Drosophila melanogaster: one gene and its partner. The protein of the gene in region 1 interacts with the protein of each later gene in a pairwise test. Each region holds a gene or a part of one and is shown in the gene's direction. Other genes may lie near its edges.

Region 1 (7,160 bases):
GGAAGGCGGGAAAATCGGATGTGGCATCGCCGATTTCCGGCACGCCACTTCACCATCGTCGCCACAATCGACTCAATCGAGGATTTTAGTTTGCATTCGGTTTTATTTTCTCCCTCTCACCCCCCCCCCCTTTTTTTTTGGTGCCACGCCATCGATTTTCATTTGTGGCACCGCATTTTTGCTCGCAGCAAAAACAACAAACGCACCGGATGCGACAGTTGGCAACCAACTGCTCCTGGCACTTTCGGCGTTAACACATCATTTGGCTTTCAGTGGCTGAATTGGCTACTACGTGGCCACAAGCTTGCATCCACTTGGCCTCTGACCTCCGCACCCTTCGACTCGCTCAAATAAACAAGCAGGCAACAAAAGGTCGAGCTTGAGTAGGGAAATTAAATTAAATTCAACTCTTGGCGCTGCGGCAATGTGCAAGACAACAGACGGTAGATCAACAAAGTGGGTTGACTAAAAAGTACGGGATCCTTTAACTATCAAAAAGACAGTATCAATCCAGGTTATACTTATGAAATATTATTTGCTTTGGCACATATACGTTAAACTTTTCTAGAAAACTTGTTAATTAATTAAATAGTTCTCAAGCGACCTTCCACACCGCGACTGACCTTTGCCAGCACATCTTCTCCATAAAACGATGAAATTACATTAAAAGGAAAACAACTGAGAATTACTAAGCTGCAGCTGCATCAGCTGAAAAGTCTGAAAGCCAGCGCAGGAAAGCAAGGCAAACAAATGATGTCGGCTAAGACCCGAGGTAAATTGTTTGCAATGGCGATGCGCTGCAATGGCAGTATGAGATGAAGCGAAGATATCTGCCTGCACTTCGTGTTTGATTTGTGCCAGTCGAGTCGCTCGATTTACCAACACAAACAGTTATGAATGCGCCTTGAGCTAGGAATCTGAATAAATTTCGCAGAATATCAATGGAAAAAGCTTGAAATGTGTAAATAAATGTCATGGGTAGGTTAATATTCCCTAACTCGAATGAAGTAATATGATAAATAAGAACGATGTCCCCGGGGGTATCTATATTTGTGAGGCAATCAGCTAATGCAAAGATGTCAGTCTCATTTACGAAATAATTTTTGATCATTTTAACTTGGTCTGCCAGGATAATTTCGGAGAGGAAGCGAAATTAATTTCCTGTTGGAAAATGAAATTCGCACACAATTTTTAGGCACACAAGCGTGGCTTAGGCATCCGGCGTGACCAACTAAATGCGATGCCACATTAACGCCTGCTCCACCGTAAATGCAACTGATAAGAGGTGTATGTTGGTTGGCTTAGAATCGCACTTCTCCCGGAAGGATCCGCATTGTTTGGCATCGGGCGTGGAGGGGGAAGGATGAGCCGCGTGCTCGGCATGGAAAAGCGCCTCATTAAGTCACGGCGCGCTGGAAAATATGCCGCGAAAGGATTAAGCAGCGATGCCGGCGACAAAATGGCGCGACGCCTATTAAAGGATTTCATCTCATGCCCGTCAACACCGTCGTCCCGTCGTCTGTTGCCCATTTTCGTTTTCATTTCCATTTTCATTCCTGTTGCTGCCGTGCGCTTCGCCGGCTAAGTGTAATTAAAAACTTAAATGGAGAAGGAATTTAAATGTGTTGCTTTTTGCATTTATGAAACATTAACGCAAATCTGTTGCAGATCGAGTTCTGTTTAATAGTCTGTGCGCTGAGGGCCCGATTTAAATTAATTTCGCATCTGCCACTGTGGCGTATACGCAATATCTGGCACAGCCACTGCGGAGGCGAAAAAGTACATCCTCCGTTAATAAAACGGGGCCTAAGAATGCGTGGCTGTTTCATTTGTGTGTGGGAAATCCTGAACAACAGAATGTCATAATCATGTGAAATAAAACCATTCCAAATGGCAGCCAGCCAGTAACTGCGAGTGCATAGAACATGCTGACTGGCTGAGAATTAGCCCCTCAGTCTCGACACTCTGCCAGACATGGCAGAAACTCATTAGCCTTATTACACAGACACCATTCTGCGGCTAAAACTGAGGGGGCGGAACCGGGCGTAGCCCCCACATGCGTATTAACTATTCATGCCCACACACACACTCATTCACTTTCTCTCGCGCCGCAAAGACATTTGAATAATTTTGACAAATGTGTGATTAATTCAAACATTTTGGCAACTAAGGCTGTCATTTTTTATGTGAGCACGACAGCAAATTAGCACTTCATATACAGGCACTGACTGGCATTCTCGTTACGGATATGATATGTGCCATTAGAACGCAACATGAAGGCTGAAACAACTTCTTTTTGAGTCGTGGTTTTATTAAAGGAAGGGAACAAGCATGTTGATTAAATTTAGAATAAAGAAAATGTGTAAAATATATATATTCGCCATAAGACTTAGATGACAATTAACCTTTCCGAACCAGCCAAGTCCTCTTCAAGTCCCCACAATGACTGCCTGATTGGGGCTTGGGCGATTAAAGACCCTGACAAAGTGAAATTTATGGCACTCAGCACACTTAAAGCTAAACGTCGGCCGTTTTTTGCTGCCTTACACTATGCATAAGGCCAGCGAGCAAAATATGAAACAGAAATCAGCCAGAGAAGGCAGAAATGAGCGGACAGGGGCAGAAAAGTGCACACAGCAAATAGAAGCGGCAATATAAAAGAGTCGCATGCCGGAAACGACAAACGACAGTCGGCGGTGGGAGGTAGAAAGAGGAAGCCTAATGCCAATGCCAAACACCGGATGCGGATGTGTGACACATGGCCGAAGGGGCGACCTGGCCACCCCATCATACCAATCCCTTTCCACCGACGACGACTGGCAACATACGCACAATGTCATTGTCGCTCGCTTTAAGTAGGCGACTTTATTAAGCCGAGGACACTGAGGAGCACCTCCAAAGTGGCAGGAGCGCAGCAAAGGCACATGGCACACCATTTTAGAATGACAAAAACGGGCACTGTGGCACCGGTTTAAGCATCTTAAATTTGAATATTAGTTATTATTAATTACAATATACAAGATCATGTTTTTTCCATTAGAAGTAGATGTGAATATTAAGAAGAGCTTCCTTTTTCAATGGTGTTTAAATTAAGATTATTTACGTTTAAGCCCCTCACTAGGCATATAAATTATAGCCGCACGTTTAAATCAGTTTTCCGAGTTGGCTTAAGTTGCAGCCTGAATTCTGAAACCCGAAGCTCCCAAGGTGGCCTTAAATTTGCGCGGTGCTTCGCTGAAGCGAAATTCCCACTGTGCATTAAGGGTTTGCAAAAAGAACAAACGGCATAATAGGCTGGCAGGACACCTGGGCACGTGTGTGCTGTTGTTTTGACTGGCCTTGCCAGTACTCACCTGGCATAAAATTAAGCCATGACGACGCGCTTGTCGCCTGGCCTGGCTTCTTATTCCGGGGCAAAGGTCGTTTACGGCACGGCCACAATTTGTTGCTTTTTGATATTTATTTAGACGGCGCTGGCGCATGAGAAGTGAAAAGCGCACAGCCCAGTCGGAACATAAATCAAAAGCAGAAGACGGCGGAAAAACCGTGAAGGAAAAGCCGCAGCGGAAAGGGTAAACGCTGCGGCAACAATGGAAATCGTTTTCAGCTGCAGAGCTTGCGACTTAAACTGGTTATTTATGGCAGGCCAAGGGCGAAGAGTTGAGGCTGCAAAGCCCAGCTGGGTTTTCCCGATCCAAACTATTGCCGGGTAAAAAATTGAGAGAAAGTGTAATGTCCCACGACACCAAGAAAAAACTTTTTGCTTTTTGAAGAAAGACACAGGACCCGAAAAGTATGCATTAGCTCACACCTTATGTTCCTATAATTTCCAACCAGTTCAAGCCACTTTCTTACCTAGTGCATGTGGCATTAACGGGAAAGGACATTAAATTAATTGAATCATGGATAGTAACATGGAACCTTGGTCCTTTGCCCTCAATTTCGATGACAGCGATAAATCGTCGGATAACGAGAGCCACTCTTCGACCAGATCCTCGAGCCGCTCCAGTGACACCAGCATAGACACCAGCTCCGTGGAGAAGGAGCCAGCTAGCGTAATTGAGAGCCAGTCTGTCCCTGGCGGAAGCTACGATGTACGTAACGACTTCCCCAATTAGGACGCATTAATCGATCCGTACTTTTCCCCCTATCAGATTATCTCCAAGACCAACATGCTGCAATTTGTGCAGAAAATCGATGCAAATTCATCGCTGGACGATCAAGGTTGCGATATGATGGCCAGAATAGCCGATGCCTTTGTTAACGACATATCCATGCGCATAGTTAAGTTGGCCAAGTATCGAAAGAGCGACGTTAGCGTGCTGGACCTGAAGTTCATCCTCAAGCGGGAGTTCAACATGGAGTTCCCAATTGAATAAATGTCCAATAAAGGGAAAAATAATGTAGAATTTGAAAATTGTGGAATGAATAAAATGTATGAATAACTTGGTTTAAAACTGTCAGAAAGGCAACAAGAATAATTGTTTTCTGCACCTAATTACCAATGTTAACCAGTGCAATTACTTTTTGGTCAATAAAAAAAATTTTATTTTTGGGTCAGTTTTGCATTTTTTATAAGGGGTACCATCATCAAAATTTGCAAAAATTGGCAAAAAATTAAAATTTCCAAATTGGAATGCCAATTGATTTGGGGATAAAATACAAGCTAAACGAGGTATGGCATTCCATATTTGGACAATTGTTTTAAGATTTATGATGAAAAAACTGAATATATTTGGGCGAAAAATCAAAAAGGTCTCTTTTGGCAAAAACGCAATATTTAAGAGTGGTATTTTCTTCACAACTCGCCTAAAAATAGTCAGATAAGTACAGGAATAACTGTTTTCTGCACCTAATTACCAATAGCAACAATTGCTATTACTTTTTGGTCAATAAAAAAAATTTTATTTTTGGGTCAGTTTTTGCATTTTTTATACCATCATCAAATTTTGCAAAAATTGGCAAAAAATTAAAATTGCCAAGTTTGAATGCCAATCGATTTGGGGATAAAATACAAGCTCAACGAGGTATGGCATTCCATATTTGGACAATTATTTTAAGTTTTATGATAAAAAAAAGGCCTCCTTTTAGACTGAAAAACGTGTTTTGCCAAAATATGGTTTCATCGTGAATTTAAAGAATACACAAAACTCGTGTTTAATACAAATTTGTTAGCTGACGAAAGAATTTTATTGAACATAATTGTGAATACCCATTGAGGTATCAATGAGAAAAGGTGCACGCCTGGTGATAAATTGCAAACCGGATCATCATGATTAAGCAATTAATAAATTCAATGGCCGCTGTCAAGAGCCGGACTCACATTCAATAGCCCCTGCAAAGCGGTCATCATGGTCTCGGCCACACTTTCCCGAGGACTTGACTCTCGCCCTTCAGCCGGGAATTACTCAACATAAAGTTAAAGTGCCATAAAAATGCCAGGGCGCATAATGCCACACACTCACACAGTGGCTGAAAAACACTCACATGCTCCCATTTACACACATGAACGGGCACTGGGTTCCTTTTCAGGTCCTTTGCTCAAAATAAAGGATAAGACCGAGGCGGAAATTTCAGAGCGATTTTTTCTCATATTTTTTTTTTATTTGGTGCTGCCTCAAGAATAAAGAATACTTCTTCGCGGGCCATGGGTATAGCGGAAAATGGCATAATTCTGGAGCTTCTCTCTCTGACTCTTAAGCAAACTTGTGGTTTTGTATTCAGAAGATGATCTGTACTTATTTAAAGAAAACCCAAAGGATTTCATTCTATGTCGCTGAATGTTTTGCATTTGCAGTAGCTGCATTTCGTTGTTTTTAAGCGAATTCTGAGATGTAATATTTTTTTTACACTAATTTAATAGAGATTGTAGCGTTTCCCAATATTTAATCAATATCTGATTTGTTTAAGACCAAAAAACACCAAAACTCTTTAATCAGTTGCGTTTTTATTTTATTTTTCCCATTGCTGGACGAGCAATTTATGCAGTTTGTTTAAATTAACTTAAATAAATCATTACCAGCTGCAAATGGATTGGATGAAGATTAAATATATAATTGAGTACAGCTGACCTAAAACAAATGATCAATCCGCTATCAATATTTCAATATTTAACTAATGTGATTCGAAAATTGAAATAATTTATGGTTAAAATCATTTTAATGCTAAGTGAAGAGTTTATAAAAATTTATATATATATCTATTTATGGTAAATTAAGGACCGCAGTACCACCGCTTTTGTAAAAATCCCATTTGGTTGTGGCCAGAAATAGAAATTACTTTTCATTACATTTGTAACCGCCCTCGGGGCAGCCGCAAACGTTCGCAATCATAATCCAAGAACGACACATTGGGGCGCATTTAAACTGATTTGATATTGGTTCAGCGAGTGTTTGTGTGTGTGTGTGAGAATCTGTGTGTGGGCCAGCAATACCAACGCACTTCTGGGCGAAATTCGTTTGCCGTATGTCTTGGCACGCACGCAGGAAAATTCAAGCCGTCGACGAATTCGTTTGGGCGATATTATAATGAATTTGTCGTGCATATTATTCGTACATACGAGTATTCCCCAATCCGTGACGCTCGCGTACGGATAAAATGAGTAAAAGCAGACACAATGTACCACGCCCACTCCATTTGAGGGCGATCTGGCTTAGTTCCGTGGAGATAAGCAGCTAAGTGACTTTGTCCCGACATCCCATGGCCCATGGGCTGTTGACGGTTTGGTTTCGGATTCGTTTTTGGTTTTTCGAAATCGTGCGCATGAAATAAATACGAATTCTCGATGGTGTTGCGGATGATGTTGTTGGTAGATATAAATTGAATTAAAGTGATATCGGTCGCCGCTGGCCGTAATAGATTAACGAAAATGTAGCCAGGCGTCAGAATAAAATAGACGCCATCCAAATTGAGTTATCAGCATAAATCAAAGGCGGTATTTGGGTATTTGTAAGCACATTATGATTAAGCTCGGGTCGCCTGACTGTCGCCCGACTGGATTGAGCCCTCTTAATGGGTAAGTAAATGCAGCAAACAGCCTTTGCAGCTCAAAAGTTTAGAACACAAATTCTTTTTTAATTAAATTCAAGTGACGACCGCCCCTGCATGTCAAACGCGAGGAGAGCGGAAACTTCCGCCTTTGAGCGAGTCATTTTCAAAGA
Region 2 (7,136 bases), on another chromosome or scaffold:
ACGTAGAATGTCATACCTCGTTGAATTCGTATTAAAATTTCCTTTCAACGTGTGTTCAAGCCTAAAAATTTTAGGAAATTTGAATTTTTCGCAAATTTTGATGGGGGTACCCCTTATCGAAAATGCGAAAATTTGTTAAAAATTATTTTTCGAAAAGCATATAAATAGTGATACGGATAGTTAGGTATGTTTATTGGCAGTACAAAACAGTCTTTATTTTACCTGTGCCACCTTTTTTGGCCAAGTTATGGCGAAAATCCCTTTTGAAAATATCAGATTTTTGGAAACATTTTTTATTTTGATTTTTTTGTTGAAAAAATAATTCGTTTTTTCGCAATAGCTAAAAAAATAATTGTCCAAACGTGGAATATCATACCTCGTTGAATTCGTAAGAAAATTTCCTTTCAACGTGTGTTCAAGCCTAAAAATTTTAGGAAATTGGAATTTTTCGCAAATTTTGATGGGGGTACCCCTTATCGAAAATGCGAAAATTTGTTAAAAAATTATTTTTTGAAAAGCATATAAATAGTGATAGGAATAGTTAGGTATGTTTATTAGCAACACGAAACAGTCTTTATTTTAGCTGTGACACCTTTTTTGGCCAAGTTATGGAGAAAATCCCTTTTGAAAATATCAGATTTTTGGCAACATTTTGATTTTTGATTTTTTTTGAAAAAATAATCCGTTTTTTCGCAATAGCTAAAAAAATAATTGTCCAAACGTGGAATGTCATACCTCGTTGAATTCGTAAGAAAATTTCCTTTCAACGTGTGTTCAAGCCTAAAAATTTTAGGAAATTGGAATTTTTCGCAAATTTTGATGGGGGTACCCCTTATCGAAAATGCGAAAATTTGTTAAAAAATTATTTTTTGAAAAGCATATAAATAGTGATAGGAATAGTTAGGTATGTTTATTAGCAACACGAAACAGTCTTTATTTTAGCTGTGACACCTTTTTTGGCCAAGTTATGGAGAAAATCCCTTTTGAAAATATCAGATTTTTGCCAACATTTATTTCTTGTTCCTTTCTTGTAAAACAAAAAAAAAACGAGTTACTACGAGTAACGAGTACTTTCTCTAATAGTTCACCTATTCTTTTAAGTACTCTGGACACTGAGCACTTGAGTGAATCAGAGAGGGGGCCAGGTGTCAGGACCTTTGCAGGAGCTGTAGACACAGTCGTCCTGGGACCAAATTCCTGGAATCCTGCTATCCCCGATAACCGCGGCAATTTCTCGCAACGCATTGCTCAAATTGCATTACATTTTAAGAATGGCTTTTACCTGATTTCCTTTACCCGCCTTGCCCACTTGACATTTGATAATTCATAAATGGCATTAGTTTAATTTCCCAACAAATTTCCGCTTCGAATTTCCACAAGCGGTTTAATTTGTGGCGATTGGATTGCATAAGATGTAAGCAATAAAGATTTCGTTTGAACAAATGCATGATTTTCGATAAGAAGGCTAGTTATTCGTTTAAAGGGGTTTCCTCTAAAAATGTTTAATTTATGAGTTCTGCGGGCTATAACCTTAATCAATGTGGCACCAAAGCATCCAATTACAGGCCATAAATTTTACAAGACATTCGCTAGTCAGTCCTTAAAGAGCCACGGCCCATAAATAAGGAGCACAATCCGCGCCCATCGCTGAAATTTATTTCCCATTTGGAAAACCTTTGGCCCACCGTTGAGTTAACAACTCAACTTGAGTTGAAAAATGTTTGAAATATTTCGGCATCTAACGGCGTTTTAAAGAGCCCAAACGAATATGCAAATGGTTGTGAGTGTGGGTGGGTGGGTGGAAAAAGAGCACCTCAAGCAGGTGAAAGAAAGTAAAAAAAAAAAGATGGAAACAGAGGGAAAAAAATCGCATGCCTATGCATCGTTCCATTCTGTTTTATGGTTCATAAACTTTCGCTCTTCGGTGAGTGCTTTTTGCCCTTTTTTTTTATGGGGGCACATTGAATAAAAAACTGATTTGTTTTGCCGCCCCTACTTCAACGTTTGATGTTGCCGGCTGTTTTGGTTGATTTCAGCCATTTGTTGCCACCAAAATGTGGCTCAGTTTTTCGGGGGCTAACATATGGCACTCACTTCGGCATAATCAACATCATCATCATCATCATTCTGCTGACGAGTTGTTAATGATGAACATATTGACGACACGGAGCGCTTTGGGCCAACAAAGTTGTTAACATAAAATGGCTCGCTGCACACATGTACACCCACAATTTGCACAGATTTCCCCAGTACTTACAGTCCTCTCTGTGTGTGTATGTGTGCTCAACAACTTTCACTTTTATAGTCCTCATATGTCATTGCAGTCGTTTTTTACCTGCGAATATTTGAAGGTCAGAAAAATAGGAACAAATCCGAGCAGAAGCATGTTTTAATCTAGGCTTAATTATATGTACAATTTTGGTATTTAGTCTTTTTGTGTAATATTTTTTCTGAATTTTATACATTTTATCCGAATTATATGGCAATTTCTTTCCATGCACCAATTTACCGCCGAAAACTTGCAGTCAAAAACAGCAAAATAAAATGTGAAAATTTTATTAGATTTTGCATTTGAAGAAGGTAAACGGAGGAAAAAAAAAAACAAACACCGACAGATTGAGGGGTTGTTTTTGCTAGGGGTGTGAGACTCAGTCCCAAAAAAACTTTGCACTGGGGCTGAGTAAAGTTTTCATGTTTTTCCCTGGGTTTCTACAGTTTTCAAGACCTTGATGCCCGCTGCGGGCGATGGATGATTCTGATTTTGATTTAGCCCCATGTTGCTGTGGGTTACTTTTTGGCATACGCCAACCGGTCGTATGGGCAATGTAAACAACAGTTTCTACCGCCACTCAACCGTATTCCGGATTTCCTACGATGAAAAGCAAGCTTTGCCCCAGCCGTTTTCCTTCGACTGTCGGCCCAACTCTGGATATCTATAGATATATTCATCATCTATATACCCAGCATTCAAATCAGACATTGTATTTCGATTAAAAAAACAAAAAAAATGCCAGTTTTGAAACTTAATGCTTATTTCACCAAATTCTTCCCATCCTCGATGGTGCGTTCCAAGGAGTTGGTGCGAAGAAGGTATTCGATGAAGGTCGCGCAGGTGCGAAGATCTTACAACATAAAGTTCAATGAAGATCCAGAATTCGAATGCGATGCCACAGTCACGAATATGCCCCAATCCTTGAAGACTATGATTAAGAGGAAACTGCTCTCAAAGCGTGTGATCGGTAGCTTTCGACTAAGATTCCATAGCAATTCGTTTAAGAAAAGGCTCGAGATCACAGCCACAATAACCAACCCAACAGTTCCGTCGGACACAGATCTCGCTCCGGAGGATGAGCAGCTGTACGAGCTGTACATATGCAGTAGCCAGGGTCAATTGCTGGGCAAGATTCCCTTCCTGGAGAGCGACTACCGGCGTGCAGCTCGCGAGGCCATCGATTTCCTGGCCTTCTAGGCATTATCAAATTTTCAATTTTCGACATGCAGAGGAGGAATATATTTTATTCTGGCAACGACGACATGACAGCCCTTATTTGCGATAGGCCACTATGCTGAACGGACTTTGATTATCGATTACCTGTTACGACTCCATTTTCATATCTGCATATCCGCTTTGTGGGGAATGGCCTGTAAAAAGCTGTAAAATTATATTTGGACCTCAATAAATTTACAGTTAACTTACTGAAAAATATGAAGTCCTACAATGTAATCATATTTATAAATATCTTAAGTATTCATCAAGAGAATGAATTACTTTCATTGCCTTTCGTTGTTTGGCCAATTTATTGATTGAATCCTTCTCAGATATATTTTCAACATAAATGAGCTAAGCTCTTCAGTAAAATAAGAAAAGAAAATACAAAATCAAGTTTATTGACAATAAATTAGCAATCAGGGCAATTCAAACTTTCCCTTCTTCAATCAATGTTGTTTTAACAGTTGCTTGATTGGAAGTTTTTTAATTTAATTAAGATATATATTTTAAATTGGTACTTATATCGTACTCATAACATAAAAGCATTGAAGACTTAGTTTAAAGATGGAGCTTTAAACTGAATACCAAAGCACGCTGCATTGTTGAAATATTTAAATATGACCATCATTCTTTAAGAATATTAATGGCGCATTTTTTTTCGCTTACCCCCCACCGAATAAAACAAGAAGCTGTTGAAAATCAACAAATTCAAAATGTAAAGTCATAAGATGAACCACTTTAACAATCCCTCGTAAGCGATAATTGCAATTGGACGGGATCAGCGGTTGCTGGGCTGGGTATAAAAAAGGTACACCGTAGGATGCCAATAATTCCGACCATATATCCACTTACCACGCACAGCCACACGCAGACACACCCACACACACGCACAATCAAACACAAACACATATGCAAATGTGCGTGTACCCTAACATACATGTATAAGACGACAAGACCCCAAAGAACATGCTATCAATTTTATTTTTATTTATTTTACCGCCCTCCAAAGCGCCCATTTTCCCTCGCATTTGTTTGCTCTTGGCTCAGGCTGAGCATATTTTGTAGCTCGTAAAAGTTTTTGATATAAAATGTAAACAAAAGCGAAATGGGACACGGAAAACACACAGCCTCCAAACACTGGGGCAAAAATGTAGTATATATTCGGAGATAGCTAATTATGAAAATAATTATTGCTAAATTGCATTGCTAAATTCTAATTGAATATAATTAGCTATACCAACATGAATATCAACGTTTAATTCGGTTTTAAATTTAATTTGGCCCGTTTCGCTCAGTGTGTGCAACTCAAAATTATGGCGCGTTTTGTAACCAGAAAAAGGCCAAAACGAGTTTCATCTTTCGCCTGCTTGTTTTTGTTGCGGCTTTTGCTTTTTCGCCGCCCCCTTTTCCGTTCCCCTTTTTCGCCATTTTGAACGGCCCTTGTGGATGGGTATCTGAGTGTGCGAGTGTGAGTGTGAACTGTGTATGTGTGTGTATGTGAGAGAGTGTGCCCAACGAGCCCTTTCAATGCTCGATGCTCACGCACTTGCACATATTAATTAAAAAGTTCAGGGTCAGGCCAAGAGACAGACATCAGCTGGCCGAACAAGGGCTAAAAAGCAACAAGAAAGAAGAAAAGAGCTGGTCAAAAGGGGAGTGAAGGCTTGGGTCAAAATGGCAGGGGCACAAGAGGGGGGCGTAACCCCTGACTTGGTTATTTTTAGTCAGTCCCGGCAATGTTGGTCGAAAATTTCTGTGTTGCTTCAGCATAATTTGTTTACACTGCTGTTTTGGTTCTTGGCCACCACATTTTGATACCCTGTAATTTTCAGCCGCAATGAGTTGATCTTGTTGCTATATTTTGAAGGGTATGAATGTCGCTTTTCATCTCATGAAAAACTTTATCCACTAACTTTTTAAGATATCTTAATAAATAGTTACCTTTTGTGCATAGAAGTTGACATAAAATTGTTCATAATAATTCCTGTTTAAAAGGCAACATAACTGTCGCAACAAGCAAGTAACTTTCAAAATGGCCTAGTTGCACTAGTTGACTTGCCATTTTTCAGGAACATGCCCCTGCAGGACTTTCCCCAAAACGTACCAAACAACCAACGAAAGTTGAAAACAAAAGCTGGCGACACACACACACACACACACAAGGGACAGTCGGTTGGAAATGGGAGGAGGGAGGTAGAGGTCCTTGTGGGTCACGGAAGCTGTGCGTAACTATAATTAATTTCATTTTAGACTGGTTAGCAAATAAACGAGCAAACGATGCGGTTCGTTCGTTCGTTCGCTGGCTGCTTGTTTAGCTCCTCTTACCTTCTCACTCTCGATGGAATGTACAATCATCCACCAAACCAGACCACCCAAAACCACCCATTTAACCACCCAAAAAAATCACTTACACTCCAACCACCATCGGCTCGTTTTTGGCCGGTTGAGACACTATTTTTGGCATCGTCCTTGTTGCCATGTTGTTGGCTTTGCACTTTGCCAGCACTTGACTGCCCAACTTTTGGTTCGTGGACCACCTGGAAAGCCACCCAGAAAGCCACCCAAAACACAGACAAAAAAAAAACAAAAACAAAACACAACGCCCAAGCCACCCAAAAGAACCACCCACTTATAGTATAACTGTTGCTTATGTTGCAGGATTTCATTTCGAGTCGGCTGTTGAGCGTTGAAGTCCTTTGAAGGACCTAAAAAGCTCAACCCTTATCAAAAATTCAACGGCATGATTTCATAACCCCGAAATTATTGATTCATCTTGAATGCCGGAATCATGCCTGCGTTTTCGTAGGCCGCACAAAAAAAGTTTATCCCACGGCCTAATCGCCTGGAACTCATTAACTTTCCTTCGTTGCAAATAATTTGTTTAATTTCGCTAGTCAGTGTTTACAAATGATTTTCTCTCCTGCATAATTAGGAAGCATAAGCAATGTGTATTTACAGTAGAAAAAGTGCCCATTTAAACTGAGAAGATTTGATACAAGAGAAAATCAGCAAAATAATTTACTATACATGCTCTTACCAACAAACATTTATTTTGAAAATACGCATATAAACAAAAAAAGGAATAGAAAAAATAAAAATAAGTTGTTTTAAGTTGTTGGTTAAACATAATTGATGATTTTTGTTGAAAATTACGAACAAAATTATCGAAAACTATAGTTCGATATAGTGTTGTTAAAATATTGAGAGAAAAACTGCTGCCAGCCAGGATGACCTGGCTTGAATAAATAAAAATGCCAACGCCACAGTTGGTTGGCCCGTAAGTCATCCCGAGATGATTCCATCAAATATGCATGGCCCATCATCATCATCATTGGATCCCAAGCAGGGCCGAGCTGTCCATTTGAATTATGCATGCATAGACAGCAGTAGCGGGCGGGAAAAAGGAGGCTGTGCCGAGGGGGAGGGGGGAAGGGAAAATCCATGGAGGGAAAGGTAGGGGGTGCACTCGGGATAAAAGGGGTTGTCAGCGCCAGGAAAGCGCAGCATGGCGCCTGCTAAGGAAATTAGATTTCCCACCAGCAGTGCGCCCCTGCGTTGTGCCTGTGTGTGGGCCAGTATCTGTGTTAGCCAGTTGGACAAAACGGCTTAAGTGTTTTTGCCAGCGCCTTTTCACCCGATTTGCATA

What was found.
Region 2: the proteins of Taf12L (region 1) and CG2209 interact in a two-hybrid assay, tested with the Drosophila melanogaster proteins (one large-scale study listed by BioGRID).

Annotation. Positions count from the first base shown.
Region 1 is NT_033779.5:4,698,211-4,705,370, reverse strand, and holds Taf12L (TBP-associated factor 30kD subunit alpha-2), read left to right. Parts: upstream 1-3,885; 5' UTR 3,886-3,902; coding exon 3,903-4,094; intron 4,095-4,154; coding exon 4,155-4,379; 3' UTR 4,380-4,536; downstream 4,537-7,160.
Region 2 is NC_004354.4:13,019,251-13,026,386, forward strand, and holds CG2209 (uncharacterized protein), read left to right. Parts: upstream 1-2,947; 5' UTR 2,948-3,007; coding exon 3,008-3,469; 3' UTR 3,470-3,699; downstream 3,700-7,136.